Linked DNA regions of Struthio camelus. The protein of the gene in region 1 purifies or fractionates together with the protein of each later gene. This does not show direct contact. Links are inferred from orthologs where the notes say so. Each region holds a gene or a part of one and is shown on either strand. Other genes may lie near its edges.

Region 1 (15,012 bases):
TATCGGTGAAAAACAGTCTAATGAACGAATGCCATATCCACCTACGTGACGAACCATGTGCTCAACTGGTCAAGAGTAACCTCTGGGTTTCCTGGTGAGCACTACCTTGCTAAGTGCTTAGCAGGTGTTTCACACCCTGCTTTGGGATCTTCATAGGATCTAGCTTCCTGGAGTAAGTGGGAAGTGTGTTAGTTGTTTCCCTGCAGTGGCTGATGATGCCCAGTGCCAACTAGAATCTTGTATTCTTCTATTAGTTGGACTTTTTCAGGCTTGCGGTAAGAGACTGCTCTGGTAAAGTGTTTAGTCGCTGCCTTGTAGTCATGGTGGACTTCGAGTACTCCTGGGGTTTAGCAGATGTGGGGTAGTTTCTTATGCTACCATAATATTATTGCGTAACCAAACCTGAGGTAGAGAAATAAAGTACTGCAATAAAAAAAAATCTTTTTGCCACTTCTATCAGGTAGTACTTTCTTTACTTTTTTTAAAGAGATGGGAAGAAACAACCCTAAGCACTGAGAAACAGTAGGCACTTCAGTATGCTTTCTGCATTTGGGGTATGCTTTTACTCCCTCTTCCCATCTGTTTTTCATTAGCTATGTTTTTTTTTTTCCCCCCCTCTCTCCAAATGGAACATGACATTTGAGTAACTTTTTGCTTCTTATCAGATTGCTGCTTCATACGAACTCATCTTTGGGCTAGAGATAAAATGAAATGCAAGAGAAAGTTCTTTTCCAACTAGAATTAGAATTCAGGAAAAAAAATGTTAATGTGAAATCTGTATCTTTGTTTCAGAGACTGATTCACAGACATGCTTCACTAATGATCTTGTTTTCCTTGTATGTTTTATTTTTTCTAATCGCAGACAAAGGATCTGGTAATTCGTCTTCCAAGGCTACTGACTGGCAAATTAGAGCCTGTAAAAGAAAATATTCAGGTGAGCTTATTAGTAGATGTTAAAAAAAAAAGCGTACCCACACAGTTTGAGTCAACAGAAGGTAAAACTCCTTGTAGGAAAATCCTGTATATAAAGAAATAATTTAGTGAAGATGTAAAATAACTTTGAGCACTTTATCAAACCAGTTCTCTTCCTCTGTAGGAAGCTTACAGCAAGCTTGCAGCATACATGGAACAATATCTTATTCTATCATTTAGTCTGATGTAGGTTAGAAACGTCATTTGGGCCACTTTCTGCTGAAAGTTGGTGTGTGTTGACACAAATGGCTACCCGTTTCTTTACAACGAGCGAAAAATAGGGCCTGTTCCCTCCCTTTATTATTATTCTTGTGTTGTTTGCTAACTTGGATTGTCTGTGAGGATTTAGGAGCAAGAAATGTGCAGCTGATTATTTTTCTCTTGGCAGGTAGCTAGTCTGCCAAAATGTGCATTTGACACCTATTATCTGATAGCAGATGGTCGTTATTAACAACTGTTGGGTAAATAACTTCAAACCCACAGGGACTCCTTTTCCCTTTGAAAATGTAACTGTGTATTGCTTTAATTATTGTGCTTTAAAGCCAGCTAGGCCAAAGAGCATGATGCAGTGTAACAAATTGAGAAATCCCATTATCCTATAATATGTAACTATGAATTAAAATATATAATTTGCAGACAGACTTACTGTTCTGAAACTATTAAGCACTGGGAGTCTTAAAATCTGGAATGTGTGTGTGGTAAGGGAGGAGACTGGAAAGTAGCAGGCTGTTCCAATTAATTGTGCTTTCTTTTTAATGAACGTTATTTCCACAGGCTGGGGATTCAGTATATTATAATGAATGTGTTTTTAAGACCCTGAGTTCTGTGCGACTATCTTGTCCAACTGTCAAAAGTATATAGCGTACCATTCTTATTTTAAACAAATGTTATGGAGCGAGGGGAAGGATTTTTAGGTCCTCACTGTTGGAATCTACTGATACTCAGAAGCTCCAGTTTTTCTGGAAGTTGAATGTCTCAGACTTGATCAGGATTCTGTCCTGTATGTCCTAGGTTGGCGGTGGAAAAGTGGCACTCTGCAAGTGAAACCATATAACAGCAATTCCAAAGTGATCTGGTGGCATCCCTTGTTCCAAGTGGGCTGTTACCATTTAGAAATAACTGCTACAACTGATACTGGTTATCAAAAGATACCAGTCATGAAGTAAATGAGCTCAGGAATGGGTTGTTCCATCCTTTAGAGGTCTCATCAAGTCCAATCAGAGATCCACTGATAAAGTAGAATTGGAAAATTTGCATTATCATTGCCTTTGCTGGGAATCATGCAGAGCACGCTGAACATTGCTAGGGTGTACACAGTAAGGATATCAATATACACAGTCTGGGGAGTTGCTGAACATAAATAATTTGAAGTCAAATTGAGAATAATCAAGGGGATTTGCACTTGAGCTCCATGTCAGTTGAGAGAATTATTGTTGTCCTGTTTCACAGAGCGGAAATTCAGGCAAGTGGAAAGCTCAAGAGACTTGCCACAATTAAGTGTACAGTCGGGCCAGCTATACATCTCTACTGATTTAACATCAGGTCTTAGTCTTTGTTTTCAGTGTAGCAAGTTATGCCTCCCAATTCAAATCTGTGAAAAACACCGCTACGTGCACACATCTCTTTATACTCCAATGTTATCTGTTTGTTAATGTTTTTTGTGATAGGCAAATATTTGTAAAGCAGATAGGGAATAAGCAGTAGCTGAGAGACCTGAATATAGTAATCTCTAGAAACAAGTGCCTGTCCAGGCCTGAAAGTCCTAAGGCAGCTTCAAAACCCTGATACCAAACCCTTCCCTTCGCGTTTGCCAGGCAGTCTAAGAAAAGAGCTTTGGTCTTGGCAGATCAAAGCGGGCAAACAAAATGTACCACCTTCTTGCCAACTGTAGAAGCACCTGAGCTGGATTTGAAAGTCTGGTTATGTTGACTGTGAGCACGTTGGCCTGATAACTAAAAATAAGCTGCTTGTAAATGTCACTGGAGGAAAGAATAAATGGATGAACTACCAGACAGACACTCTTGTATGCTAAATTCCTTTCTCTGCAACTCAACGAACTGCTTGCCATCCTGCCCTTTGGGAGGAGTACCCATGATTTTATTGAAAAAATGTGTTATATTTTCCTTTTGGGAAACTGTAATTGAAGTCAGGGCAGTTTCTGAACAAGACATCTTACTTCAGGCCTTAACCGACTGTAAAGTAGACTGAATATACCAGGTATTCTGCATGTCTCTTTCCAATTAAATGGACTTCATGTCTAAAAATTGCTGGATTGAAATCATGCTCCTTAGTAAAACAGATATCACTTGAATATATTAGAAGAGAAATAGCACATTAACAGAAGTATTAACAAAGATTCTTTGGGGAGAAGTCTTATGCTTGTAACTGCCCTGCATACAAAGACATAGCTTTTTTGTTCATATATCAGACAAACTGAAAAATAGATAGCATTCAGAGAAATTATCTTTACTTAAGGGATATTTTACAAACAAACTATACTTTCACCCAGAGTGATAAGCAGCTTTCACTCTCTGCTTCAGAGAATTGGAGTCACAGATACTATTGTGGATTGTACTCATGTTGCTGAGTGACAAAGGGTAGAAGAATTTTGTGTTAGGTTAGTTGGGAAAAAAAAATTAAGTTTGCTGTAGTTGACTTTTGAAGATAAAATTGTGTTCTTTCTCAGGTATGTCAGATTGAACTTGGTTTTCAGCGTAATGAAATTCAACATATTGTGTTTAAAACCCCCAAGATTTTAACTGCAAGCAAAAAGAGGCTCAGGCGGACGTTTGACTACCTACACAATATAATGGGCATTCCCCACCACATGCTTACTCAATTTCCTCAGGTGAGCTGTTAATCTGGGGATAAAATGTAGGTGCTCTTTGCCTAATTGCTTTACTAGTTTGGTGCCAAAGGAGGAGCCTTGCTATGTGCAGGACAGACATGAATTCTTCATCTTGTCTGGCTGTTACTTTAATTTGGATAACTTTTTTTAGCAACCTACCAACTGCTATAAATTCCAGTTTGGAAGTTCTCTTCATTCCCTCCTCCTGCAGTCTAGTGAATACTTATTTCTAACAGGAGTAATCATGCTGATCTCTTTTGGAATCATACAAGAGAGATTAGTGCCTGCTTAGGGATTCGTCGTCTTCAAACCTTATGTCTAGGTAAGAGACAAGAAAGAAAACATGGAGCGTATTACACAGCACATTTATAAACATTTCTCTTTCGAATTTGCCTGGTTAAAAATTAAATTTTCTACATTCTAAGATCTGAAAATATCTTACAGTTTAAAGGCAAGAAAAGAAGTTTTCTCCATGAGGCAGTAAGATTCTCACTGACCTTGCTACTGCAAAGGCTTAAAAATAATCACAGAAATGAAAGTAGTTGAGCTTATTGATGGCTACTTCATTTTTTCTGTCTTCTCATTACAGTTATTGCCTCGCAAATCAAGTTGAAAGCATTAGTCACTTTATCCAGTGCTGACATGCAATCAGTTGCATAGCACCCAGTAACTTTTACAAGGAAAAAAAAGCACACATTACAACTTCAGTAGTGAATAACTTTCTTCTTAAAGGAAATCTAACAGGGAATCTAACTGGCTAAAAAAGCAATGTATTATATGGGGAAATAAGACTGCTCTCCAGGGTTTTGATTGCTTTGATATCTGATATATACCTGTCTTTACTTAACACTGATGTTTGCTGTAGTACCAATCCATGTCTCACTTTTGCCCTCCTTGACTTGTAAATCACCATAAGCCTTGCTCCTTTCCTTCTCAGTTGTACTGTTCCGTCTTTGTGGTGCTTCACCTCATTATTTCTGTTCTCTTTGCTTGGAGAGGAAGTGGAGAGATGCCTTAATTTCCCATTCTTACTGCAGACACCTTCTCTCTCTTCCCTTCTCTTCCCTTCCATCCTCAAAACCAGTGGCTTTCACAAAGAGGCTAGCACAACTCAGTCTGCTATATGGCCTGGCCATCAACCAGCCTGGATGACAATAATGCCAAAAATAAGAGGCACTCAGGACTTTTTTTTTGTCACATCTTCTCTGCTGCTGCAGCTGCTGATCATCCTTCCTAGTCAAGTCCATAAGCAGTGGTCAGTCTGATTTATTTATTTATTTTTATTCCCCTGCCCCTTGCCCCTCTTCTGACTCTCCCTTAAAGTGCAAGCAAGGCATTGTGTGCGTCCTCAATAGTCCTTCCCTCAATACTGCAGTCTTCCCTTTTTACTAAGAACTTTGCTCACTTTCACTCCCTTCACAATTCTTGTTGTCATTATAATCGGCTCTTAAAGCAACTTCTCTCTTTAGTTGTACTGCAGAGCTAGATCTCTGCTTTTAAGGTTTCTTACTATGCATCTATGATGCACCTGCAGCCTACTTCCCTGTTGTCTTCCCCACGTCTCTCTCCTTTCAGATGTATCCCACTGATTTCTTCCATGGTTTCCTTGTCATTGTTCTTACCTTTGACTGCAGTTCTCTTCATGACAAATGCCTTCAAGGGTAAGCACTGCTGTGCAGAAGATCAGTGGCTGTTCTGAATCAGTGAACAGTGCCTTTTGGCTGTGTTATGAAAGAGATGCAGCCACTCACTTTCTCTGTTGCCACTATGTGCTTCACTGTTTTGTGTTATGTAATACAGTGCAATTTCCTCTCCATAACAATCCCAATCTGAATCTGTACAGAGACTGTATAAGGAAGTGTTTCCACCTGTATATGCAAAATGCTTAGGCATTCCTGCTCCCTGTATCTGAATGTCTCCTTTCCACTTTCTTGGCTGTGATTACCCAAAAGTAATGCGTGTAACTATCAGCCTATAAGCTGTCATGCTCAACAGTTTTATCACTCCCTGATTTCTCTTGTTTCAATATAATATGATTTAAATTCTAACCTCTTTCTGATATTTGGCCTAAATGAGGGCAAAAGTTCTAAATCATTTATTTTCTTGCTAAAACTTAGGTTGTCTATAAATTGCTGTGTTTTAGATTCATCATATTCTGAAATTTAGACCCCCTAAAAGCGTCTCCCTTTTCTTTCTTTCTTAGGTTTTCAACTCAAAACTTCTACGAATCAAAGAGAGACATTCGTTTCTTACGTTCTTGGGAAGAGCCCAGTATGACCCAGCGCAACCCAGCTACATCTCTCTTGACCAGCTAGTATCCTTGCCTGATGAGGTGTTCTGTACAGAGATTGCTAAAGCCTCAATACAGGACTTTGAAAAATTCTTAAAAACACTTTAATTAGTAACACATGTAAAAAGGAATAACGTAAAGTTAAGAAATAAACATATTTTGTAAACCTACTCCCTTTTATGGTCTCTTAGCTTCTTAATTACTGGTTTAAGAAGTTGTTGCTTGTGAAACATTTGTGGTGCGTAAAGGCTAAGAGTAACGTTCTTTATGGTGACTTCAAGTGTATTTCACAAGGATTAAGCAAATATATGTTGATTGCTATTGATTGTAATCCTTGTAATTAATTGCTATTATCTAATTCAGAATGAATGATGCACTGGCAGAAAAGTAAATTAAAGCAAATTCTTCTACCTTTCTTTTTCAATAACTTCAGAGCTTTGGGAAAGGGAAAAACTGACCAGTGACTGACTTCTCTGCCTCTTCCTCTTCATCTCCTCAGCCCACCACCCTCCAAGAATTAGAATAACTAGCCAGTGCAACAGCAAAGAAGTGGAGTGATCACTTGTTCTAATCGCAGCAGCTAATAATGTAATTCTTTTCTTTTCCTTGTAGAGAGAAGTACACAACTACATACATGAAGCCCCTCATACAAAGTGGTGTTTTACAATAGCTTACAAGAAGGGTGCTTCTTTTTGAGGCTAGTTGCTGAAGTTAATATCCTAAAAGCTGTACAATCAAACTTAGTTTGAAATATAAACAAAAATCAGCAAACTGAATATAGGCCAAAAAAAAAAAAAACCCTCCCTCAAGATTTCAGGGACATGTTTAGTTTTACTTTTATAACACACTTTCCCCTCTGCCTCTGGGAGGGGAAGGAAAAAGGTAGTTTTGCCCCATCCCTGATGTGATTTGTATGGCTTCAATATACAAGCAACCATACAAAAAGCAGCTGTAGTATATATGTAGTTGATAACTGTTATCTTGCTCAGTTATAACGGAAGTAGATGGTAACATTAGGAATTGTACGAGTATTAAAAGTAGTTAATGCTATCAACAAATAATGTAGAATTATGAAATGCTTCGCAATATATTTGGGTAAAGTGAAAAAAATGACTAAATCTGAAGGCAAACTGTCTTAATAGTTTATTGTTTAAAGTTTCCATTCTTTTGGTTAAAATAGTTCAGGAAACTTAAATCCAGATGTTTTCATTTGGATTTAAGCTTATTTAATGAAAATATTTTGGGTGGGTTTTTTTTTTTTTTTGAAAGCATAACGTTCTTGGTGGAGATATATAACAAATTTCATCTCAAGTGGTGGCCCAAAATGTGACGGCTAAACACTTTCCCAGCCTCGCTTTCAGATAAGAAGTATGCTAAATCTAATTCAAGATGCTTTCTTAGATTGTTGACCTTATTAAAGCAAAGGGCAGGTTAAGCCTAATAAGCTATAACCTTCAAACCATCTAACAAACTAATTTTTATAGCAGAACCTATGCGTTCATAATGCCAAAGTAAAGACAGTTTCCTTTTCTTTTTTCAGATCTACCCCTCTGTCCTCATCGCTACTTTGTCGCCATGTGACAAGGCATTATAATTTAAACTGTAATTACATATAAAATTTTCAATGTCCTAAATGTTGAGCTTTTAATTCCTTTAATATGTTTAAACACAAACATGATTACTGTCAAAACTAACCAGTCTCCTTGGAATTTTGAATGCATGAGCTTTTGCCAAAATAGTTTCCCAGAAATACTATGAAGAAAGGAAACAAAAAAATTTATGGATATGCTAAAAGAAAAGGGAGAGAGGATAGAAGAGCTTGTTGGAAATCATACCAAATATTTTTTGGCTTCAAGATTAAAAAAGTCTTCAGAAGAAAGGTTTGGCCTAGAATTTCCAAAGTATTCTAGTCTGTTGTTCTTGATAAGGGCTAGAAGCTTATGATTAAGTTGGGTATGTTGAGTAATTGAGGCTTGCTGGATACCATATGGCAGATACTTGCAGTCTCTGAAGTGTACTGTTTGCCTGCTTATCAAATTCAGCTGCCTAAATGAGTTTGCAGAGCACTCGCTACAGGGGCACTTGCCCGTTGTGTCTGCGGCTTCTCTCCAGTGCCGTTTCTCGCCTGACTCCGCTCCGATTTGCGCTGTGGGATTTGGCGAGTCTGGGGCCTTGGATAACCTTCGGTGCGCCCGGTCCTGTGCCTCGGCGGCAAGGCTACGCGCAGGCGCTGGAGCCCGCTTGGCGCAGCGGTCCCGAGCACCCCCTTTGCGCCCCGGACCGCCGCCGCCGCCGCCACGCCTCCGCCGGCCTGGAGCCGGGGGCGGGAGCAGGGGAGGCCCCGCCCTTCACTTGGGGCGCATGCGCAAGCGCCGAGCCGCCATTGGCGGCACAGGTGCGTCCTGCCCCGCCCTTCGCGCCTGGGGACGCCGCGGCGTTACCCAGCAGGCAGCGCGCGCCTCCGAGGTCAAGATGGCGGCGAGGGCACCGGGTGAGGCGTTGGTGGGCCGGGGTCAGGCTCGTGGGGCGCGCCCGTGGGGCCCGCGGCGTGGGGCTCCCCTCGCCGCCGCCGCCGCTGCCGCTGGGGGAGCCGCGGGGGCCTTACCGGGAGCCGGCGGGCTCTGGGCGCGGGGAGTTGCGCTGTCGGCGCCCGCAGCGGGCGGGAGGCTGTCGTGCCCCGGCCCGGCCTGGCCCTTGCGGGCCGGCTTCCTTCCCGCCCGTCCCGAGCGGCGACCCGACAGTCGGAGCCTCCGCCGGGGAGGGCGAGGCTGGCTCCGCCGTGGGCTTTCCCCCGGTGCGGCTTCCCAAGGACGCCGGGGCGCAGGGTGCCTGGGAGCAGGGGAGCCCTTGCTAGCGCCTGCAGCTCAGCGGAGGGCTTCGGGAACCGGTGTCAGGCCGAAGGGCTGCCTTCGGGCTTAGGGTGTTCAATATCATTGCTGCTCAGGCATTAACAGTATGAAGGACAAGTCCTGATGAAGTAATGTACCAGTGACATGCTGGGGTCACATGTAGCACTGCTCCTTTGGGGTAACTTAATAAGACAGCTGACTCAAAAGCATAAAAAGCAGCTTGCACCATATTGCTCCGTTGTTCAGTTTCTGGATTTCTAGATAGGCAAACTAACTGAATTACTTCAGTGGTATTTGATACTGAAGAGAACTTCACTGTCAAGGATTTGTAGCTTTGCTCTGTCCTCTTCTACCCAGAATTCATGGCTTAGAAAAGACTACTGTGCTACTGGTGTGGTCTTTTTCTTTAGAACAATTTTTTTTTTTGTTGAGGTTCTCCATGTTGACTTTGCAGTTACTTTGGGAGGCCTTGAAGATATAGGCACTAGAATATTATTCAAGTAGTAGGAAGGGGGACAGAAGGCTAACAACGTTACTGTGCTGGCCATGACATCATACCAACCCACAGCGAGAGCTATAAAACTTGTAGCTATAGATAATTGATTTGAAAAGCACTGTGACTTCGCTTTCTGTAAGGCATTATGTTCTTAGCCCAGGTGAAACTTATGGATCCTAAAGTAATTGTTGCTGTCTTTGATTCTGGGCTGTTAGCATTGTTCCAAGTCTTAGAACAGTCTAATAGTCAAATTGTGCAAAAAGAGAGGTTGGGATTTTTGTATTTACTGGTGCTCGTTCTCAATGTTCAGTGTCAATTTAAGAACACGGAAAAGCAGAGAAGCCAAATCGTACATGACATAGTGCAAACTTGACGTAATGTTGCGTTACTGCATGTGAAGGAAGTCAGCGAGCATTGACATGCTGTTAGGGTAACGTGTAAATGTTAAGTTCTGTCTTGCTCTTGGACTAATAACAGTCGCTTTCAGTTTCAGGAGGTGGCCGCCTGTTAGAAAGCATTCGTAAGTGGTATTACAATGCGGCTGGATTCAATAAGCTTGGTAGGTATTGTTTCTGCATGTGTTCCTAAGCAAAAAGTCTCACAATCTAGCTTTAATTCGTTACTGGTACACATATGCTCATTTGACATAGGTATTGTTTATCAAAGTTAATTACTATTTTTGTCTGTAGAAAAAAGTTAGCAATAGCTTCAGTCCTTGCGATTGCTATCTAGTAATGAATCACTGACTCTTTTTTTCTGGTTTTTTTGGTTTTCTTTTTTTGTGTCCCAGGGAAACTGGGTTTTTCATTTTTTTCTGCCTAAGTTTACCCTGTCATTGTCTCACCAGGACTTGATTTAGGCCCTCTTCTTTCCTGCCTGCTGAAATTCTTGAAGATATTAGTACTACTTGCTGCTTTTCTATGACTGTGATTAAAAACCTGAAGATTAAACTAGCAACTGTCCTTATACTTTTTTTTTTTTTTTTTTTTTTTTTTACAAAACTGAATTCAAGCATATGTGGCTCTTAAAACAAACAAGAAAGGTCTCTTTAATCAGAGACTATTGCTAGCTCAGTCACATAAGATCAAAATCAAAACCTTTATCCGTGAACCAGTACACGTACTTATAATCTGCATTTATCTTGGAACGTTACAGAAGCAGAACAAGCTTTTTTTTTTTTCTTTTGTGTTGTTCATGCTGAAACTTATAGCAGAGTTGATTGAATTCCAGAAATCGTTTGCTCCAAAAACAATGTGGGTCTATTTTTGGCTTTGAGGAGACCAAATTATTCTCCCTGTATTCACTTTTGGTAGGAAAATAAGCTTAGTCAGAGGCATCTAACTTCAGGCATCCCTAGCTAGTTATAGCTGGTGGAGATCTAGTCCATATGCACGGTGGAGTTTAGAGAACAGTTCTTTGATGCTAAAGTAGTCACAGCTACTTGAGTGACTATAATATAATTAGTGCTTTTAAATCCTAAACCTAGACAGTCATCTTAAATACAGGGATCTAAAATTTGTTGACTGTAAGTCCACCCTTCATATCCAGGCTAGCTGCTTTTCTATATGTATTCTGAGTACTCCAGTGTAACACATAGAATCAAATATCCATTTTTCCTGTTCATTTTTGAGAGAGAGCATCACCAAGTGAATCATGTACATGCAAGTCAGTGCTTACAGTTTGTTCTCTGTGAGCAAATACTAATTCTCTTCTCTTGCATTGGTCTGTGCTTGCATTTTAGGTGTGATTCTAGTGTTATGTTTAACCTATGTTAATCGTAAATCTTAATTAGTGATATTTATTCAATGATGTTGTAAAATCTTGCCAATACAGGGTTAATGCGAGATGATGTGTTGTACGAAGATGACGATGTAAAAGAAGCACTCAAGAGGCTTCCAGAGCCTCTTTACAATGAGAGAATATTTCGCATGAAGCGAGCACTTGACTTAAGTCTGAAACATCAGATCCTTCCAAAGGAACAGTGGGTGAAATATGAAGAGGTATGTGCACAGAGTGTTTCCGAGTCTTCAGGATTTTCTATGTGGTGGAGGTGTATACTTGCATATTATTCATAATGAGTAAATATTGCAGTCCGTGTCTAATAGGATACCTTTGAAAATCAGAACTTTTGATCCCCGTTTAAAAACGTGTATTTTGCAATGGAAGATCCCTTTATAACACTTTGCTCAACATGACAAAGGCTTAAACTACAGATCAGAGTCTTAGCGCTTCAGTTTGTATTCAGATGAAATATTTTTTCTGCATTGTCAGGTAAGGTAATCTGCTGTAACTGGCTTAGAAATTCTTAAAAAACGTCTCTTGCTTTTCTGATGAGCATCTTAATTTTATAGAAAATCTTGAGCCAAAGCTTTTATTCTTAAAAATGCAAAGGAATAATAACTTGAAGGAAAACCTTGGTAATGTTTTGGTAACTGCTGCATTGGTCAACTGATTGCCTAAGTTACTTGAGCAGCAGTTTGATTTATGAGTGTTTAATGCAGCTGAGTTCTGTTGAATCTGTTTGAAGTGGTGTTTAGAGCTAAAGTTGAGGAAAAAATTCTTCAGTGCAAAGAGTATTTTTGTTGGACTTTGAGCTGAATAAAGTGGATCATGTACATTTCCGCATCTTAGAATCTTTCCTAATTCAGATGCATTTATTTATTTTGTGGGTTTAGTAATTTGACTCTGGCTGTCACTTAGCTTGGCGTTGCACTTTAATGAGACTCCTCAACCTCGTACTTGGGATATTTGACAAGAGAACATTATTTCTAAAGGTACAGCTGAAAGCATCACTGCTTGTTAACGTTCATGAGGCAATAGGAGTTAGCAGTTACTACGCTGCTATTTGCAACAATTGCAAATGTGTTAAGTTTATCTTTTCACAGTGAGCAGTGTGTGGAGGGTTTGGTTTGGGTTTTTTTTTCCTCAAATCTGAGGAGAAATGTGAGGGAAGTAGTCTGCATGAATTTTAGTTGTTTCTGGCCGTCCCTATAAGTTTAATTTTTTTTTTTTTTTTTCAGGATAAGCGTTATCTTGAACCATACCTAAAAGAAGTAATCCGTGAACGACTCGAAAGAGAAGCATGGAACAAGAAATGACTATTGAACTACTCCATGTGAATGTCCACTTCTTTCTGATATTTTTAAAGGTGGTTATAGAAGAAGTCTACTGGAGGCAAATATGAGGCTTAAGGAATACATGTTTCTGCTTGTTCATTGAATCTGTTCATCCAAGTAAAATAAATGTGTCAAAGTATAAAATCTACTTGGAAGACTTCTTGGTAAATGTTAACAAGCTAGTGTTACCATACCATAGTGGTATGCAGTCTTCATTCCAACTTCTTGATTCATACTCTTTTCATAGTACAGCTGTTTCCTGCAGCTGGCAGGATAGGTAAGAAACAGCCAAGGCTGCTGATGCTAGCTCATCTGTTGCTTATAAAGGGGTTGCTTATTTCCTTTACCACCTCTTCTCCATGGAGGCAAGAATACTGGAATTGAGGTTACGGTGGCATCATGAAACAGCAGCATGTCGTATTCTGTGGATCTAAGCAGATAAAATGTAGTAGTGGAAAGTATAAATCGTTTCTTAATCACAAAATGAGGAAGTATTTCACTACCTTTTTGCACCATGTACCTTGTTAATGCTCTAAAAGTGTATTCTCATATAAATGCTGACTGTCTCACCTCAGGTTCTTGAGACAATCTAACCTTTTAAAGGGTGAAAGTGGTATGTTGGTACCCTTTCTACAGTATAATTAATAAACTTTGGATATCTTTTTCCTAGCCTAAAGCATGTTGTTGTTTATAATGATTGGCTTGAAGTATTTTAAACTGTCAAGGTAACAGGCTTAATGCCATTAGAGATGGACACGGAATTCAGTCTCTGCTTAAACACAGAAGCAATTTAGTTATATCTAGGAAGTATTAGCCATTGTTGGCTGAAGATCTTGAGTTTAGAGTCTTCCATAGTTTAATGGTAGTTTTGAGACAGCCTTTGGTGCCACACGCAGTTGAAAATGTCAGGCCACAATCTTGTGTGATAGTTACAAGTTTCTTTTTTGGGGAGAGGGGGATGTTATGCGTGCTTGTCTGCCAAATGCAATAATGCATAGATAAAAAGCCAAAGCAGTTAAAATACAATTATATAAATATGGAGCAAACCAAGTCCGTAGTTCAAAGGTATGATCAGATAGCGTTCTGGGTTAGAAGTTAGAATAGGAACAGTCATTATCAAAGCTAAAAGAATGTTTCTAACCTTTATCTACTTGCTTCATGCTTGCTTACATCTGGAGAATGAGTAGAGTGGTACCTAGTTGAAATGTTTATTTCAAATTTGATAGCCTAGTGTGATAAAACAAAATACTGCAAAAATATCTGCATTGCTAATATTCCTTAACAAATGTAGAGGAAACTGCATTAAGACTATGAAGTTGCTTTCATCACCTACAGTTTCTTGCAAACTTGAGAAAATCCTTTTTTCTTGCTTTGTTAAGGTTATAGCAGAATCTTGCAATTGAAACATGCTAGAGTTTTCGTATGCAGATTTAGTGTCAAGAGCTTTCTAATATACTTTTTCCTGAGACAAATAGGACCTGAACATTTCACACTTCTCATGTATAGAATTATTAGAATACTTCATTTCCTAATGGAATTAGAACTACTTTGTTATCTCTTAGAAAATTAGAATACTATCTAATGGACATGGGCTTGGAATTTCTTAAGCATTTGAAAGTATCGCTGCCAGACTTCTGTAAAAGGTAGGATTTTGCAGAAAGATAGCATCTGCTTATTTGACTACAAGTTTGGATTAAGTTTAATGTGGTTCAAAGATTTTTTCAAAAATATCTTGGGTTAGATAAAAGGGTTTTGCTGGCATCAGACGCTTTGAAATAGCCTGACATTTTTGAAAGGACACTCTGACCTGAAATCACTGACCTATTTGTTCTCAAATTTAACATTGTGAGAGTCAGAGGCAAATAGAAGTTAATAAAATATAGAACTAAGCTTTTCAAGTGCTCTGTATAACAGTTTGTGGGGTGGAGGGAAAGAGTATCAGAAGCTGACCTGTTTGCCACAGTTAAGATTGTTTGACAGCTTCCATTTAGACGTTTTCAGATGCTTCTGACTTTGACTGGATCAGTTTTAACTTTAAGCTTATATAATGCACAGTAGTCTCCTGTTGAAGCATGGTGAAAATCTGTGGTGAAAACTATTAGACTGTTTCTCAGAACATTAGAACATTAGAGAGGAAAATGTGTTTTTGGTATTCTTTGAGGTATTTAGGCAAGGAGGTGTAAGAGAGGGATCCTGATGACCTGGAAACTGCGAGCTGTGATAGCTTTGTGTTACAGACTGTAAACTCTTCTCTAGAACTTGATGTGAGGTTTGAATGCTTCTGTTACAGGCTAATAGCTGGAAAAACTTTTCGAAGGCATTTCATATTTCATCCTCTCTTGTCACCCTGTATGCGCATTAAGCTACTCCCGTTATTCTGTAGCTGGTTGAAACACTGTTAGTTATAAGAAAGGTCTGAATTCTGCTGGTGACTAATTGGA
Region 2 (15,180 bases), on another chromosome or scaffold:
CCAGTGACAACCATGTCACCCCCCCCTCGGGGCTGGTGACGCCCGTGTCACCTCCCGGTGATGGCTCAGTCACCCGTTGCGACACCTCCGGGTCGGGGACGCTCAGATCTTGCCAGGGAAGGTCCCCTCCTCACGATACTCGTCCCACGTTGTCACCTGTGGGGCGACACCGGGGGGGGGGTCGTCACAGGGGCCATGGTGTCATCACGAGGGACATGCTAACACCATGGGGGACACCATGAGGGTCACAGTGACATTGTGAGGGATGCAGAGACACCACGGGGAACACCATGAGGGTCTCAGGGACCACGGGGACATCATGGGGGCATGGTAACACCATAGATGACACCACAAGGGTCACAGGGACTGCAGTGGCATCATGAGGGACATGGTGGCACTGAGGGAGACAACGAGGGTCACAGGGATCACAGTGAGATCACGAGGGACACGGTGACCGCATGGGGGACACCACGAGGGTCACAAGGATCGCAGTGATGCCACGTGGGACACAGTGACGTCAGAGGAAAGACAAGGAGCACAGTGACATCATGGGGGGGCGTAGAAAGCACAGGGACCTCGTGGGGAACACGGTGACACCATGGGGGATATGGGGGTTGCAGTGACATCATGGGAGACACCATGAGAGACCCAGGGACCACGGTGATGTCATGGGGGACATGGTGACACCATGAGCATCACAGGGACTGCAGTAATGCCATGGGCAACATGGTGGCACCAGAGGGAACACAGGGACATCATGGGGGACCCGGGAGCAGCAGGGATGCTGCACTGACACCATGAGAGACGTGAGGACACCATGGGGGGTCATGGGGGTGGTGGGGACACACCAGTGGCACCATGTGGGACCTGAGATTTCTGTGGGGACAGCACAGTGATGCTAAGGGGGACAGAGGGACACCATAAGGGACCTGCAGGTGGCAGGGACACCGTGGTGACACTGTGAGGGAGCTGGAGGTGGCAGGGACATCATGGTGACACTGTGGGGGACCTGGGGATGGCATGGGGAACCTGGGGGCAGTGGGGACACCACAATGACACACCATGGGACACAAGGGCAATGGGCACACCACAGGGGACACAGTGGTGGACGTGAGGATGTGACAGAAGACACGGAGATGCTGGGGATGCCATGGTGACACCATGACGGACAAGGGGGCAGCAAGACCCCTGGGGTGACACTGCCAGGGACACAGGGGTGCTGTGGGGATGCCATGGTGGCGCATGAGGGATGCATGGGCAGTGGGGACACCACGGTGACGCCACGGGGGCATTGGAGACACCACGGGGATGCCCCGAGGGCTGTGGGGGCACCATGGAGGTTCTGGGGACAGTGGGGACGCCACAGTGGCACCGTGGGGGACACTGTGGGAGATCTGGGGGCAGCGAGGACACCACAGGGGTGGTGGTGGCACCATGGGAGATCTAGGGGCATTGAGGACGCTACGATGATATCACGGGGGCATGGGGACACCACAGTGACACTGTGGGGGACCCGGTAGCATCAGAGAGACCACAGTGACGCAACGAGGATGCCGCAGTGCAGAGCACCAGGATGGTGACGACGCCACATTGACACCATGGGTGACGTGAGGGCATTGGGGACACCCCAGTGACACCACGAGGGACCTGAGGGCACTGGGGACATCACAGGGGAACGGAGGACATTGAGGACACCACGGTGACACCACGGGGAACCTGAGGGCACTGGGGACATGCTAGTGACACCGCCAGGGACCTCACAGGGAACCTAAGGGCACTGGGGACACCCCAGTGACACCACGAGGGACCTGAGGACACTGGGGACATCACAGGGGAACGGAGGACATTGGGGACACCCCGGTGACACCATGGGGAACCTGAGGGCATTGGGGACATCACAGGGGAACGGAGGACATTGGGGACACCACAGTGACACCATGGGGAACCTGAGGGCATTGGGGACACCCCAGTGACACCATCAGGGAACTGAGGGCATTGGGGACACCATGGTGACACCGTGGGGGACCCGAGGGCATTGGGGACATCACAGGGAACCTGAGGACATTGAGGACACCCCAGTGACACCATCAGGGGACCTGAGGGCACTGGGGACATCATAGGGGAACGGAGGACACTGGGGAAATCCCGGTGACACCGCAGGGGACCTGAGGGCATTGGGGACACCCCGGTGACACCGCAGGGGCATCAAGGAAGCCACGGTGACACCGCGGGGGAACTGAGGCCACGGGGGACGCCGCAGCGACGCCACGGGGAACGTGAGGGCATGGGGGACGCCCCGGTGACACGGCGGGAGCGTTGGGGACACACGGGGACGGGGCAGGTGACACTCACCCAGGAGGTGGGACACAGGGACTTGTAGACGCGGTAGTACCACTGGCAGGGGCTGGCGTCCGCCCCCTTGGCCGCCATCGCCTTCTGGCAGCGGTGGAAATCTGGGGGCGGCGGAGGCGAGGGGGTGTTAAAACGCAGGGGGTTGAGCCCCCAGGGGGCCCAGGCGTCCGGGAAGGGGACCCCGGCCCCTCCCGAGGGGCCCAGGTGGCCGGGAGCACCTTCCGACCCCTTCCAAAGGGCCCAGGTGTCCGGGGAGAGACCATGGCTTTGGGAGCCCCTCTAACCCCCCTCCACAAGGGGCCCAGGCGTCCGGGGGGCCCAGGCGTCCGGGGAGAGACACTTCGGCTTCCGGGAGCCCCTCTAACCCCCCTCCCAAAGGGGCCCAGGCGTCCGGGGGGCCCAGGCGTCCGGGGAGAGACACCTCGGCTTCCAGGAGCCCCTCAAACCCCCCTGCCAAAGGGGCCCAGGCGTCCGGGGAGAGACACCTCGGCTTCCAGGAGCCCCTCTAACCCCCCTCCCAAAGGGGCCCAGGCGTCCGGGGGGCCCAGGCGTCCGGGGAGAGACACCTCGGCTTCCGGGAGCCCCTCTAACGCCCCTCCCAAAGGGGCCCAGGCGTCCGGGGGGCCCAGGCGTCCAGGGAGAGACACCTCGGCTTCCAGGAGCCCCTCAAACCCCCCTCCCAAAGGGGCCCAGGCGTCCGGGGAGAGACACCTCGGCTTCCGGGAGCCCCTCTAACCCCCCTCCCAAAGGGGCCCAGGCGTCCGGGGGGCCCAGGCGTCCAGGGAGAGACACCTCGGCTTCCAGGAGCCCCTCAAACCCCCCTCCCAAAGGGGCCCAGGCGTCCGGGGAGAGACACCTCGGCTTCCGGGAGCCCCTCTAACCCCCCTCCACAAGGGGCCCAGGCGTCCGGGGGGCCCAGGCGTCCGGGGAGAGACACCCCGGCTTCTGGGAGCCCCTCTAACCCCCCTCCACAAGGGGCCCAGGCGTCCGGGGAGACACCCCGGCTTCTGGGAGCCCCTCTAACCCCCCTCCACAAGGGGCCCAGGCATCCGGGGGGGCCCAGGCGTCCGGGGAGAGACACCCCGGCTTCTGGGAGCCCCTCTAACCCCCCTCCCAAAGGGGGCCCAGGCGTCCGGGGAGAGACACCTCGGCTTCCGGGAGCCCCTCTAACCCCCCTCCACAAGGGGCCCAGGCGTCCGGGGGGCCCAGGCGTCCGGGGAGAGACACCCCGGCTTCTGGGAGCCCCTCTAACCCCCCTCCCAAAGGGGGCCCAGGCGTCCGGGGAGAGACACCTCGGCTTCCGGGAGCCCCTCTAACCCCCCTCCCAAAGGGGCCCAGGCGTCCGGGGGGCCCAGGCGTCCGGGGAGAGACACCCCGGCTTCCGGGAGCCCCTCTAACCCCCCTCCACAAGGGGCCCAGGCGTCCGGGGAGAGACACCTCGGCTTCCGGGAGCCCCTCTAACCCCCCTCCCAAAGGGGCCCAGGCGTCCGGGGGGCCCAGGCGTCCGGGGAGAGACACCCCGGCTTCTGGGAGCCCCTCTAACCCCCCTCCCAAAGGGGCCCAGGCGTCCGGGGGGCCCAGGCGTCCGGGGAGAGACACCCCAGTTTCCGGGAGCCCCTCTAACCCCCCTCCCAAAGGGGCCCAGGCGTCCGGGGGGCCCAGGCGTCCGGGGAGAGACACCCCAGTTTCCGGGAGCCCCTCTAACCCCCCTCCCAAAGGGGCCCAGGCGTCCGGGGAGAGACACCTCGGCTTCCGGGAGCCCCTCTAACCCCCCTCCCAAAGGGGCCCAGGCGTCCGGGGGGCCCAGGCGTCCGGGGAGAGACACCTCGGCTTCCAGGAGCCCCTCTAACCCCCCTCCCAAAGGGGCCCAGGCGTCCGGGGGGCCCAGGCGTCCGGGGAGAGACACCTCGGCTTCCGGGAGCCCCTCTAACCCCTCTCCCAAAGGGGCCCAGGCGTCTGGGGGGCCCAGGCGTCCGGGGAGAGACACCTCGGCTTCCAGGAGCCCCTCAAACCCCCCTCCCAAAGGGGCCCAGGCGTCCGGGGAGAGACACCTCGGCTTCCAGGAGCCCCTCAAACCCCCCTCCCAAAGGGGGCCCAGGCGTCCGGGGAGAGACACCTCGGCTTCTGGGAGCCCCTCTAACCCCCCTCCCAAAGGGGCCCAGGCGTCCGGGGGGCCCAGGCGTCCGGGGAGAGACACCTCGGCTTCCAGGAGCCCCTCAAACCCCCCTCCCAAAGGGGCCCAGGCGTCCGGGGCGAAAGGGGGGCCCAGGCGTCCCTACCCACCTAGTTCCGACAGCTGGTTTCGAACCGCTTCCGGGTGCGGAAGCGGCGCCCGCGGAGCCTCCCCCATCCCCAGCGGGGCCCCGGCGTCCGGGCCTCCTGCCCCCCGCCCCCGGAAGGGGCCCAGGCGTCCGAGGGGCCCAGGCGTCCCTACCCACGTAGTTCTGCCAGCAGTTCCTGGTCTGGTTCTGGTTGGGGAAGCGGCTGTCGAACGGCGCCGTCCGGTAGCGCTGCAGCTTGGCCTCGATGTCGTCCGCCATCGCTGCGGGGGGGGGGGGGGGGAACGAGAGCTCGTTAGCGGGGGGTTCGTTAGCGGAGGGGGGTCGTTAGCCGGGGGGGGGCCTTAGCAAGGGGAGCTCGTTAGCGGGGTTCGTTAACGGGGCTTGCAAGCGGCGGCGGGGGGCGTTAGTGGGGTGTGTTAGCAGAGAGGCGGGAGCGGGGTTCGTTATCGGGGGGGACTCGTTAACGGGGTTCGTTAGCAAGGAGATGCCAGCAGGATTCATTAGCGGGGCTCGTTATTGGGGGGCTCATTAACAAGGTTCGTTAGCAAGGAGATGCTAACAGGATTCATTAGCGGGGCTCGTTATTGGGGGGCTCATTAACAAGGTTCGTTAGCAAGGAGATGCTAACAGGATTCATTAGTGGGGCTCGTTATTGGGAGGCTCATTAACAGGGTTCGTTAGCAACGAGATGCTAACAGGGTTCGTTAGTGGGGCTCGTTATTGGGGGGCTCATTAACAGGGTTCGTTAGCAAGGATGATAGCTTCTTATTAGGGTTCGTTAACAAGGGGCATTAGCAGTGGAGGTGCTATCAGGATTCATTAGCAGGGGGTTCATTAGTGGGGGGGCTCGTTAGCAGGTAGTTTATTAGTCGGGGGGGGGCTAATTAGCAACGTTCATTAACTAGGAGGCTCATTAATGGGGTTCGTTAGCAAATAGGTGTTACGGGGCGATTTGTTAGAGGGAGTTCTTGGGGGGGGTCGTTAGCAGGGCTCATTAACAGCGATCGTTAGTGAGGTTTGTTAGCAGGGGGCTCATTAACAGGGTTCATTAGTGGGGGGTTCGCTAAGGGGGGTCGTTAATGGGGTTCGTTAGCGGAGCATGCTAGCAAGCTTCATTCACAGGGGTCGTTAGGAGGCTCGTTAGCAGGGGGGCGCTCGTTAGGGCTGGAGCTAACGGGGGCTCCCCGAAACGCTGCAGGGCTGGAGCTGGGCAGGGAGAGATCCCAGTGCGCCCAGTGCCCTCCCAGTAAGCCTGGGTTCCCCCTCCCCAGTGCTCCCAGTAAGCCTGAGTCACTCCTCCCAGTAAGCCTGGGTTCCTCCTTTCCCAGTCCTCCCAGTAAGCCTGAATCACTGCTCCCAGTAAGACTAAGTCCCCCCCTTCCCAGTGCTCCCAGTAAGCCTGAGTCATTCCTCCCAGTGCTCCCAGTAAGCCTAGGTCCCCCCCTTCCCAGTAAGCCTGAGTCACTCCTCCCAGTAAGCCTGGGTTCCCCCCTCCCCAGTGCTCCCAGTAAGCCTGGGTCCCCCCCTTCCCAGTGCTCCCAGTAAGCCTGGGTTCCCCCCTCCCCAGTGCTCCCAGTAAGCCTGAGTCACTCCTCCCAGTAAGCCTGAGTCACTCCTCCCAGTAAGCCTGAGTCACTCCTCCCAGTAAGCCTGAGTCACTCCTCCCAGTAACACCGAGTCTCCCCCTCCCAGCACTCCCAGTTAGCTGCCCCCCCTTTCCCAGTGCCCCCCCAGTGCTCCCAGTAACCTCACTCCCGCCATTTCCCAGTGCTCCCAGTTCCCCCCCCCCACCGGCCTCCCAGTCCCGCCCTTTCCCAGTGCTCCCAGTAGCCCCGGATCCCCCCGCTTCCCAGCGCTCCCAGCACCCCCCCCGAGCCCTCCCAGTGCTCCCAGTTCCCTCCCAGTGCCCCCCGCCCCCCTCACCGAGTCGCGCCGCTCCCTCAAAGTGACTTTCACCGCCGCCGCCCTCGCACCGGAACCAGCGAGACGTCGCGAAAGCGCAGAGCGGCGCCGGAAGTGGCGCGGTCCCCCCCCACTCTAGCGGCCCTCAAGGGGCGGGGCCACAGAGATGAGGCGGCTAGAGAGGCGGCCGGGCAGGGAGGGGGAGCGGCGAGGAGGACCGCGGCGGCCATAGAGAAGAGGCGGGAGGACAGAGCGGCGCCGGCCGCCGGGGGGGAAGTGGGCGCCGAGAGGGGCCCTAAAAGCCCCCTCCCCCGGGGACCCCCAAATCCCCCATTCCTACCCCAAAACTCCTTCCAGTACCCCCCAGACCCCCCAAATCCCCCATTTCTGTCCCAAAACACCTCCCAAGACCCCCCAGAACCCCCCAGATCCCCCATTTCTGTCCCAAAATACCTCCTAGGACCCCCCCAGAACCCCCAAATCCCCCACTCCTGCCCCAAAATACCTCTCAGAACCCCCAAATCCCCCTTTTCTGCCCCAAAACACCTCCCAGGACCCCCCAGAACCCCCATTTCTGCCCCAAAACACCTCCCAGGACCCCCTAGGACCCCCAAATCCCCCAATCTTGCCCCAAAATACCTCCTAGGAACCCCCAGAACCTCCATTGGTGCCCAAAACCACATCCTAGATCCCCCCAGAACCCCCCAAATCCCCCTTTTCTGCCCCAAAATACCTCCCAGGACCCCCCAGATCCCCCATTTCTGCCCCAAAACACCTCCCAGGACCCCCCAGAACCCCCATTTCTGCCCCAAAATACCCCCCAGGACCCCCAAATCCCCCATTTCTGCCCCAAAACACCTCCCAGGACCCCCCAGAACCCCCATTTCTGCCCCAGAATACCCCCCAGGACCCCCAAATCCCCCATTTCTGCCCAAAAATACCTCCCAGGACCCCCCAGAACCCCCCAGATCCCCCATTTCTGCCCCAAAACACCTCCCAGGACCCCCCAGAACCCCCATTTCTGCCCCAAAATACCCCCCAGGACCCCCAAATCCCCCATTTCTGCCCCAAAACACCTCCCAGGACCCCCAAATCCCCCATTTCTGCCCCAAAAAACATTCCTAGGATCCCTCAGAACCCCCCAAATCCCCCTTTTCTGCCCCAAAATACCCCCCAGGACCCCCAAATCCCCCATTTCTGCCCCAAAACACCTCCCAGGATCCCCCAGAACTCCCCAAATCCCCCATTTCTGCCCCAAAATACCTCCCAGGACCCCCCAGAAGCACCAAATCCCCCATTTCTGCCCCAGAATACCTCCCAGGACCCCCAAACCCCCCATTTCTGCCCCAAAATACCCCCCAGAGCCACCAACCTCTCCCCCCCCCCCCGTGCCCCCTCCCTCTTTGGGAGCGGTGTGGGCACTTCCGCCCGGCCCCGCGCGGCGTCGGAGGGGGCCGCGGCGCATGCGCGGGACTCCGGAACGGAGGGGGGCGGTGGAGCCGCGCCGTGACGTCAGCGCCGCGCAGGCGCTTCCGGTTCCGGGGCCCCGAGAGCGGCGCGTGCGACCCCGCGTGGAGCAGCGGCGGGATGCGGCCAGGTGGGGGGGGGGGGGAACTGGGAGGGACTGGGGCGACTGGGAGGGACTGGGAGGCACTGAGGGGCATTTAGGAGGGGCTGGGGGCGACTGAGAGGGCCTGGAAGGGACTGAGAGGGCAACTGGGAGGCAACTGGGGAGGACTGGGGGCAACTGGGAGGGAGCAGGGGGCACTGGGAGGGACTGGGAGGGCTCGGAAGCAACTGGGAGGGGGATGGGGAGCCCTGGGAGGGAACTGGGAGACATTGGGAGGGAACTGGGGGGTATTGGGAGGGACTGGGAGAGACTGGGGGCAACTGGGAGAGACTGAGGGCAACTGGGAGAGATTAGGCGGGACAAGGAGGCAACTGGGGGGAGTGGGGGCAACTGGGAGGGAGCTGGGGGCACTGAGAGGGACTGGGAGGGCTCGGAAGCAACTGGGAGGGGGATGGGGAGCCCTGGGAGGGAACTGGGAGACATTGGGAGGGAACTGGGGGGGTACTGGGAGGGACTGGGGATATTGGGAGACCCTAGGATGAGGCTAGAGAGCACTGGGAGGGACTGGGAGAGACTGGGGGCTTTGGGAGAGACTGGGAGGGAGCTGGGGGGGACAGGGAGGCAACTGGGAGGGAGCTGGGGGTACTGGGAGAGACTGGGAGGGAGACCCTAGGATGGGGCTAGAGGACACTGGGAGAGACTGGTGGTGTTGGGAGAGGCTGGAAAGGACTGGTGGGCACTGGGAGGGAACTTGGGGGGGTACTGGAAGGTGCTAGGAGGGAACTAGGGGACACTGGGAGGGGCTGGGGGACACTGGGGGGCACTGGGAGAGGACTGGGGGACTTTGGGAGATGCTGGGAGGGACAGGGAGGCAACTGGGGGACACTGGGAGGAAACTGGGGGGGGGAACTGGGAGAGGTGGGAATGGACTGGGAGATGCTAGGGGGGCTAAGGGGACATTTGAGGGCCTGGGGGCTACTGGGCATACTGGGAGGGACTGGAAGCGATTGGGGGTACTGGGGGGGGGGAATACTGGGAGACAGAAGGAGACTGGGAAGGAAATTAGAGCAACTGGGAGGGAACTGGGCAGACTGGGAGCAAACTGGAGGTGATTGGGGATGCTGGGGGGGGATGCTGGGAGACAGGAGGGGACCGGGAGGGATATAAAGAGACTGGGGGGGAACTGGGCAGACTGGGAGGGAACTGGGGCGGCCTCTGCCTGCTGCCCAGTGCTCCCAGTTGGCCCAGTTTGAGCGCCCGTCTCCGACAGGGTTCAGCCCCCGGGGGGGCCGCGGCGGCGGCTTCGGGGACCGCGGGGGACGCGGCGGCTTCCGGGGGGGCCGAGGTGAGTGTCGCCCCCTCCCAGTACCACCAGTGCTCCCAGTATGACCGGCGCTGCCGGCCCTGGGGACGCCAGAGCCGGGCACGAAGCTCCCCGCACTGTCCCAGTCCGCCCAGTGGGGCTCGGGGCCCCGTCCCAGTCCACCCAGTAGCTGCCCAGTTCCTCTCTGCGTTCATCCCAGTCTGCCCAGTAGCTTTCCCACCCTGTCCCAGTCCGCCCAGCAGCTCCCTTGTCCCCTCCTAGTGCTGCTCCATCCCACCCCAGTCTACCCAGTAGCTCCCCAGTCCCATTCCCAATCTGCCCAGTTCCTCTCTGCTCTCAGTCCAGTCTGCCCAGTAGCTCTCCTGCCCTGTCCCAATCTGCCCAGTAGCTCCCCAGTCCCATTCCCAGTCTGCCCAGTTCCTCTCTGCGTTCATCCTAGTCTGCCCAGTAGCTCTCCTGCCCTGTCCCAGTCTGCCCAGTAGCTCACCGGTCCCATTCCCAGTCTGCCCAGTTGGGCACTAGTTCCATCCCAGTCTGCCTACTTTCTGCTTCTTGCTGTCCCAGTCTGCCCAGTTGCTCCCCCGTCCCTTCCCAGTCTGCTCAGTCACTTCCCCATCCTTTCCCAGTCTGCCCAGTCATTCCCCGGTCCACTCCCAGTCTGCCCAATGGGGCTCCCCCACCCCTTCCCAGTGCACCCAGGAGCTCCACCGCCCCCTCCCAGTCCGCCCAGTTGCTCCCCCATCCCCTCCCAGTTGCTTTCCCATCGTTTCCCAGTCCGCCCAGTGGCTCCCCCATCAGCTCCCAGTCACTCCGCCGTCCCCTCCCAGCCGCTTTCCTGACCCTTCCCAGTCTTCCCAGTCCTCTTGGTCGCTTTCCCGTCCCTTCCCAGTCCACCCAGTGACTTCCCTGTCTCCCTCTCAGTCTTCCCAGTCCGCCCAGTCGCTCCCTCTCCCCTTCCCAGTCCGCCCAGTCGCTCCCTCTCCCCTTCCCAGTCCGCCCAGTCGCTCCCTCTCCCCTTCCCAGTCCGCCCAGTCGCTCCCTCTCCCCTTCCCAGTCCGCCCAGTCGCTCCCTCTCCCCTTCCCAGTCCGCCCAGTCGCTCCCTCTCCCCTTCCCAGTCCGCCCAGTCGCTCCCTCTCCCCTTCCCAGTCCGCCCAGTCGCTCCCTCTCCCCTTCCCAGTCCGCCCAGTGGCTTCCCCATCCCTTCCCAGTCCGCCCAGTCGCTCTCTCTCCCCTTCCCAGTCCACCCAGTGGCTTCCCTATCCCTTCCCAGTCCTCCCAGTCGCTCCCCAGTCCCCGTCCTCGTTAGGGGCCTCGTCAGCGCCGCTGGCCTTGGCCCCGCAGGTGGCGGGTTCAAGTCCCCCGGTGGGGGCGGCCGCGGCGGTTTCGGCGGTGGCCGAGGAAGAGGAGGGCCCGGCCGGGGGGGCCGCGGCGGCGGCCGGGGGGGTCGCGGTGGCTTCAAGGGCGGCAAGAAGGTGACGGTGGAGCCCCATCGGCACGAAGGTACCGGGGGCCCAGGCGTCCGGGCGGGCAGCAGCACGTTTGGGGGAAAAGGGGGCGGTTTGGGGAGGACGGGGGTGGTTTTGGGGGGCGCCGTGGGGCGGTTGGGGGGGCGCCGTGGGGCAGTTGGGGGGGATGGAGGCGGTTGGGGGGGACGGGGGTATTTAGGGGGTGCCGTGGGGCGGTTGGGGGGGGGACGGGGGTGGTTGGGGGGGTGATGGGGACAGTTTAGGGGAGGACGGGGGTATTTAGGGGGCACCATGGGGCAGTTGAGGGGGATGGGGGTGGTTGAGGGGGTGCCGTGGGGCAGTTGGGGGGGACGGGGGTGGTTGAGGGGGTGATGGGGACAGTTTAGGGGAGGACGGGGGTATTTAGGGGGCACCATGGGGCAGTTGGGGATGGATGGGGGTGGTTTAGGTGGTGCCGTGGGGCATTTAGGGGAGATGGGGGTAGTTGGGGGGCACTGTGGGGCAATCGCACCCCCCGGTTTTGCCCCCCCAGGGGTGTTCATCTGCCGGGGGAAGGAGGACGCCCTCGTCACCCGCAACATGGTGCCCGGCGAGTCCGTCTACGGCGAGAAGAGGATCTCCGTGGAGGTGGGGGGCAACTGGGAGGGCACTGGGGGCAACTGGGAAGCACTGGGGTAGGTGTGGGGGGAACTTGGGGGAATGAGGGGCAACTGGGAGGGACTGGGGGCAACTGGGAAGCACTGGAGTAGGTGTAGGGTGTACAGGGAAAGCCTTGGGGGGGTAACTGGGAGGGCACTGGGGGGAGCTGGGAGCAACTGGGAGGCACTTGAGGCTACCGGGAGGGCACTGGGAAGGCAGCAGAAGCAACTGAGAGGGACTGGGGGCAACTGGGAAGCACTGGGGTAGGCATAGGGGGTACTAGGAGTTCTGGGGGCGCTACTGGGAGGCACTGGGGAGAATATGGGGGAATGGGAAGGAACCTGGGGGGCAGCTGGGAGGGCACTGGAGGCAGCTGGGAAGCACTGGGGTAGGTGTAGGAGGCACTGGGAGCAACTGGGAGGAGCTTGGGGCTACCGGGAGGGTGCCGGGAGGCATTTGGAGGGCAACTGAGAGGGACTGGAGGAGGATTTGGGGGCAGGGGAGGGCACTGGGGGCAACTGGGAGGCACTGGGGGAGGACTAGAGGGCACAGGGAGGGCCTTGGAGGGAACTGGGGGGCACCTGAGAGCCACTGGGGAAGGCCTGGGGGCAACTAGGAGGGCCTGGGGGCTACTGGGAGGCACTGGGGGGAGAACTAGGAGCCATGGGGGCAACTGGATGGGCACTGGGGGCAACTGGGAGGACACTGGGGGGGACTAGGGAACACGGAAAAGGATTTGGGGGAGGACTTGGGGGCAACTGGGAGGGACTTGGGGGAAACTGGGAGCTCTGGAAGGGGTCCCTGCGGTGTCCCCTGTCCCCAGGCTGGTGACACCAAGGTTGATTACAATGCCTGGAGCTCCTCAGGCTCCAAACTGGGAGCACTGGGAGGTGGCACTGGGGGGTGTGAAGGTCCTGGGGGTGTCACCACTGGGAGTGACGCGACCTTGGGTATCACTTATCCCTAGAATGGTGACACCAAGCTGGAGTACCAGCACCTGGACCTTCTCGGACTCCAAACTGGAGGCACTGGGAGGTGGCAGTGTGGGGTGTGCAGGTCCTGGGGGTGTCACCGCCGGGGGTGACGGATCCCTGGGGTGTCCCCTGTCCCCAGGACGGTGACACCAAGGTGGAGTACCGCGCCTGGAACCCGTTCCGCTCCAAGCTGGCGGCCGCCATCCTGGGAGGCATCGACCAGATCCACATTCGCCCGGGGGCGAAGGTCCTCTACCTGGGTGCCGCCTCGGGGACGACCGTGTCCCACGTCTCCGACATCGTGGGACCGGTAAGGACCCCCCCGCCGGGGGAGGGGACACAAGAGTCCTGGGTTGAGGGGAAGTGGGGACGAGTTGTGGTCTCCTTGGGAACGTTGATGTGGCGTCCTGGGGCAAGGAGACGTGGGGATGGAGTTGTGATCTCCTTGGGGACATCTGCCTGGTGTTCTGGGGTGAGGGAACGCGGGAATGGGGTTGTGATTCCGTTGGGGACATCTTCATGGCGTTCTGGGGCAAGGGGACCTGGGGATGGGGTTGTGTGCCCCATGGGGACGTCACCATGGGGTCCCAGAGGTGAGGGGATGGGTTGTGATGCCCTTGGAGGCATCTTCATGGTGTCGCAAGGCTGAGGAGACCTGGGGATGGGATTGTGATCTCCTTGGGGACATCTTCATGGTGTCCCAGGGGTGAGGGGACCCAAGGACAGGACTGTGATCGATCCCCTTGGGGACATCCCTGTAACATTTGGGAAGGGGCGACTTGGACCTCCTGAGATTGTCCCTGCAGGTGGCACATTTGTGTCCTCAGAGATGTTTTTGCCCAAGGCTGTCCCCACAGGGGGCAAATCCCTATCCCTGTCTTCACGCTGTCCCGACGGGGGGCAGCTCCACGTCCCCAGGGGTGACCCCCAGGCTCGAGGACCCCGAGGCTGTCCCCGCAAGGGGGGTGACCCTACCTGTCCCGCAGGAGGGACTGGTTTACGCCGTCGAGTTCTCCCATCGCTCCGGCCGCGACCTCATCAACGTGGCCAAGAAACGCACCAACGTCATCCCCGTCATCGAGGACGCCCGGCACCCCCACAAGTACCGCATGCTCATCGGTGAGCCTGGCTGCGGGTGACAGCGTTTTGGGTGTCCTCAGGGTTTTGTGGGGTGTCCTACAGAGTTATTTTGGGGTCTTAGTGTGGCTAGGAGATGATTTTGGAGGTCTTGGGGGCATCTTGGAGGTGCAGGTGATGGGTGTGGGAGCGTCCTATGCCATCTTGGGGAGGTTTCTGGTGTTTTTGTGGGGATCAGGAGGACCTAAGGTGAGTTTGGGGTTATTTTAGGGGTCCTACATAGGTACTTTGGGCCTTAGTGTGTCTAGGGGAGGATTTTGTGGGTCCTGGGGACATCTTAGAGATGCAGGTGGTGGATCTGGAGCTATCTTGGGACACCTGGGAGAGGTTTCTGGGGCTTCCTAAGGGTTGTTTGGGGATTTGGGGGACATAGAAGGGGGCCCAGGATGGGGGTTGGGGGTCTAGGAGAGGTTTTTGTGGGTCTAGGGGTGTCTTGGAAATGTGGGAGGGCATCTGGTGGCATCTCATGCCACCTGGGGGAGCTTTTGGTGGTGTTTTGGAGGTCAAGGAAACCTTAGATGAGTTTGGGATTGTTAGGGAGGTTCTAGAGAGGTGTCTTGGGGTCCCATGGGGTTTAGAAGAGGTTTGGGGGGGGTATTTGGAGCGTCTTGAAGATTTAGAAAGTGGTCTGGGGCCATCTCGGGGTACCTGGGAGAGGTTTGTGTGGGTCCAGTTGGGTGTGTTGGGTTTTGAGGGGCTACAAGAGGGTTTAGGATGAAGATTTGGGGTCTTGAGACAGGTTCGAGGGCATCTTGGTGTCTTGGGAGGTTTCTTGGGAGTGTTTTGTGGGTTAGGGGATGTTTGGGGGACCACAAAGAGGTTTCGGGAGGTCCAGGAGAGGATTTAGGGGGGTTGGGGACATCTCGGGGGGCTGGAGCACAGTGGTGGGAAGTTTTTTGGGGGGGGGGGGGGGTCCCCGGCCCCCTGTCACCTACCTCGTGACACCCAGGCATGGTGGACGTGATCTTTGCGGACGTCGCGCAGCCCGACCAGTCGCGCATCGTGGCCCTCAACGCCCACAACTTCCTGCGCAATGGTGGCCACTTCGTTATCTCCATCAAGGTAACGAGCGGGGCGGGTTGCTGATGGGCCAGTGACAACCAGTAGTGACCCCTGATGGGCCAGTGACAAGCAGAAATGACCAGTTATCAGCCAGTGATAACCACTAATGAGCCAGTGAAAACCAGTGATGACCAGTAATGGACCAGTGACAACCAGTAAGAGGCCAGTAACAGCTAGCAGTGACCAGTAATGGTCAGTGATAGCCAGTAATGGAGCAGTGACAGCTAGTTATGAAGCACCAATGGACCGGTAACAACCAGTAGTGACCAGTATGGGCCAGTGACAACCAGTAACGACCAGTAACGCACTGAGGACAGCAACTAAGGACCAGTAGCAGACTGATGACATCCCATAGCAAACCAGTAACAGGGCAATGACGACCAGTAGTGACCAGTAAGAGCCACTGACAACCAGTAACAGGGCAGCGATGGCCAGTGACAGGCCAGGAATAACTGGTGGCAACCAGTAACA

Evidence for each region.
Region 2: the proteins of UQCRB (region 1) and COX6B1 purify together in Homo sapiens (affinity purification with mass spectrometry; 3 studies listed by BioGRID and IntAct, counting the BioPlex papers as one, with this or other methods). This does not show direct contact. The link is inferred for Struthio camelus from reciprocal best matches to the Homo sapiens genes UQCRB and COX6B1.

Annotation. Positions count from the first base shown.
Region 1 is NC_090943.1:148,239,611-148,254,622, forward strand, and holds UQCRB (cytochrome b-c1 complex subunit 7), read left to right. Parts: upstream 1-8,459; 5' UTR 8,460-8,471; coding exon 8,472-8,601; intron 8,602-9,942; coding exon 9,943-10,014; intron 10,015-11,288; coding exon 11,289-11,455; intron 11,456-12,475; coding exon 12,476-12,553; 3' UTR 12,554-12,719; downstream 12,720-15,012. Other genes in the region: MTERF3 (transcription termination factor 3, mitochondrial), read left to right, coding at 863-934, 3,659-3,820, 6,024-6,218. UniProt on the Homo sapiens protein: Component of the ubiquinol-cytochrome c oxidoreductase, a multisubunit transmembrane complex that is part of the mitochondrial electron transport chain which drives oxidative phosphorylation.
Region 2 is NC_090974.1:158,777-173,956, reverse strand, and holds the start of COX6B1 (cytochrome c oxidase subunit 6B1), read right to left. Parts: upstream 6,749-15,180; 5' UTR 6,558-6,748; intron 4,895-6,557; 5' UTR 4,893-4,894; coding exon 4,787-4,892; intron 2,454-4,786; coding exon 2,353-2,453; intron 157-2,352; coding exon 103-156; 3' UTR 1-102. Other genes in the region: FBL (rRNA 2'-O-methyltransferase fibrillarin), read left to right, coding at 8,124-8,133, 9,377-9,451, 10,773-10,931, 11,430-11,524, 12,650-12,820, 13,497-13,629, 14,597-14,709. UniProt on the Homo sapiens protein: Component of the cytochrome c oxidase, the last enzyme in the mitochondrial electron transport chain which drives oxidative phosphorylation.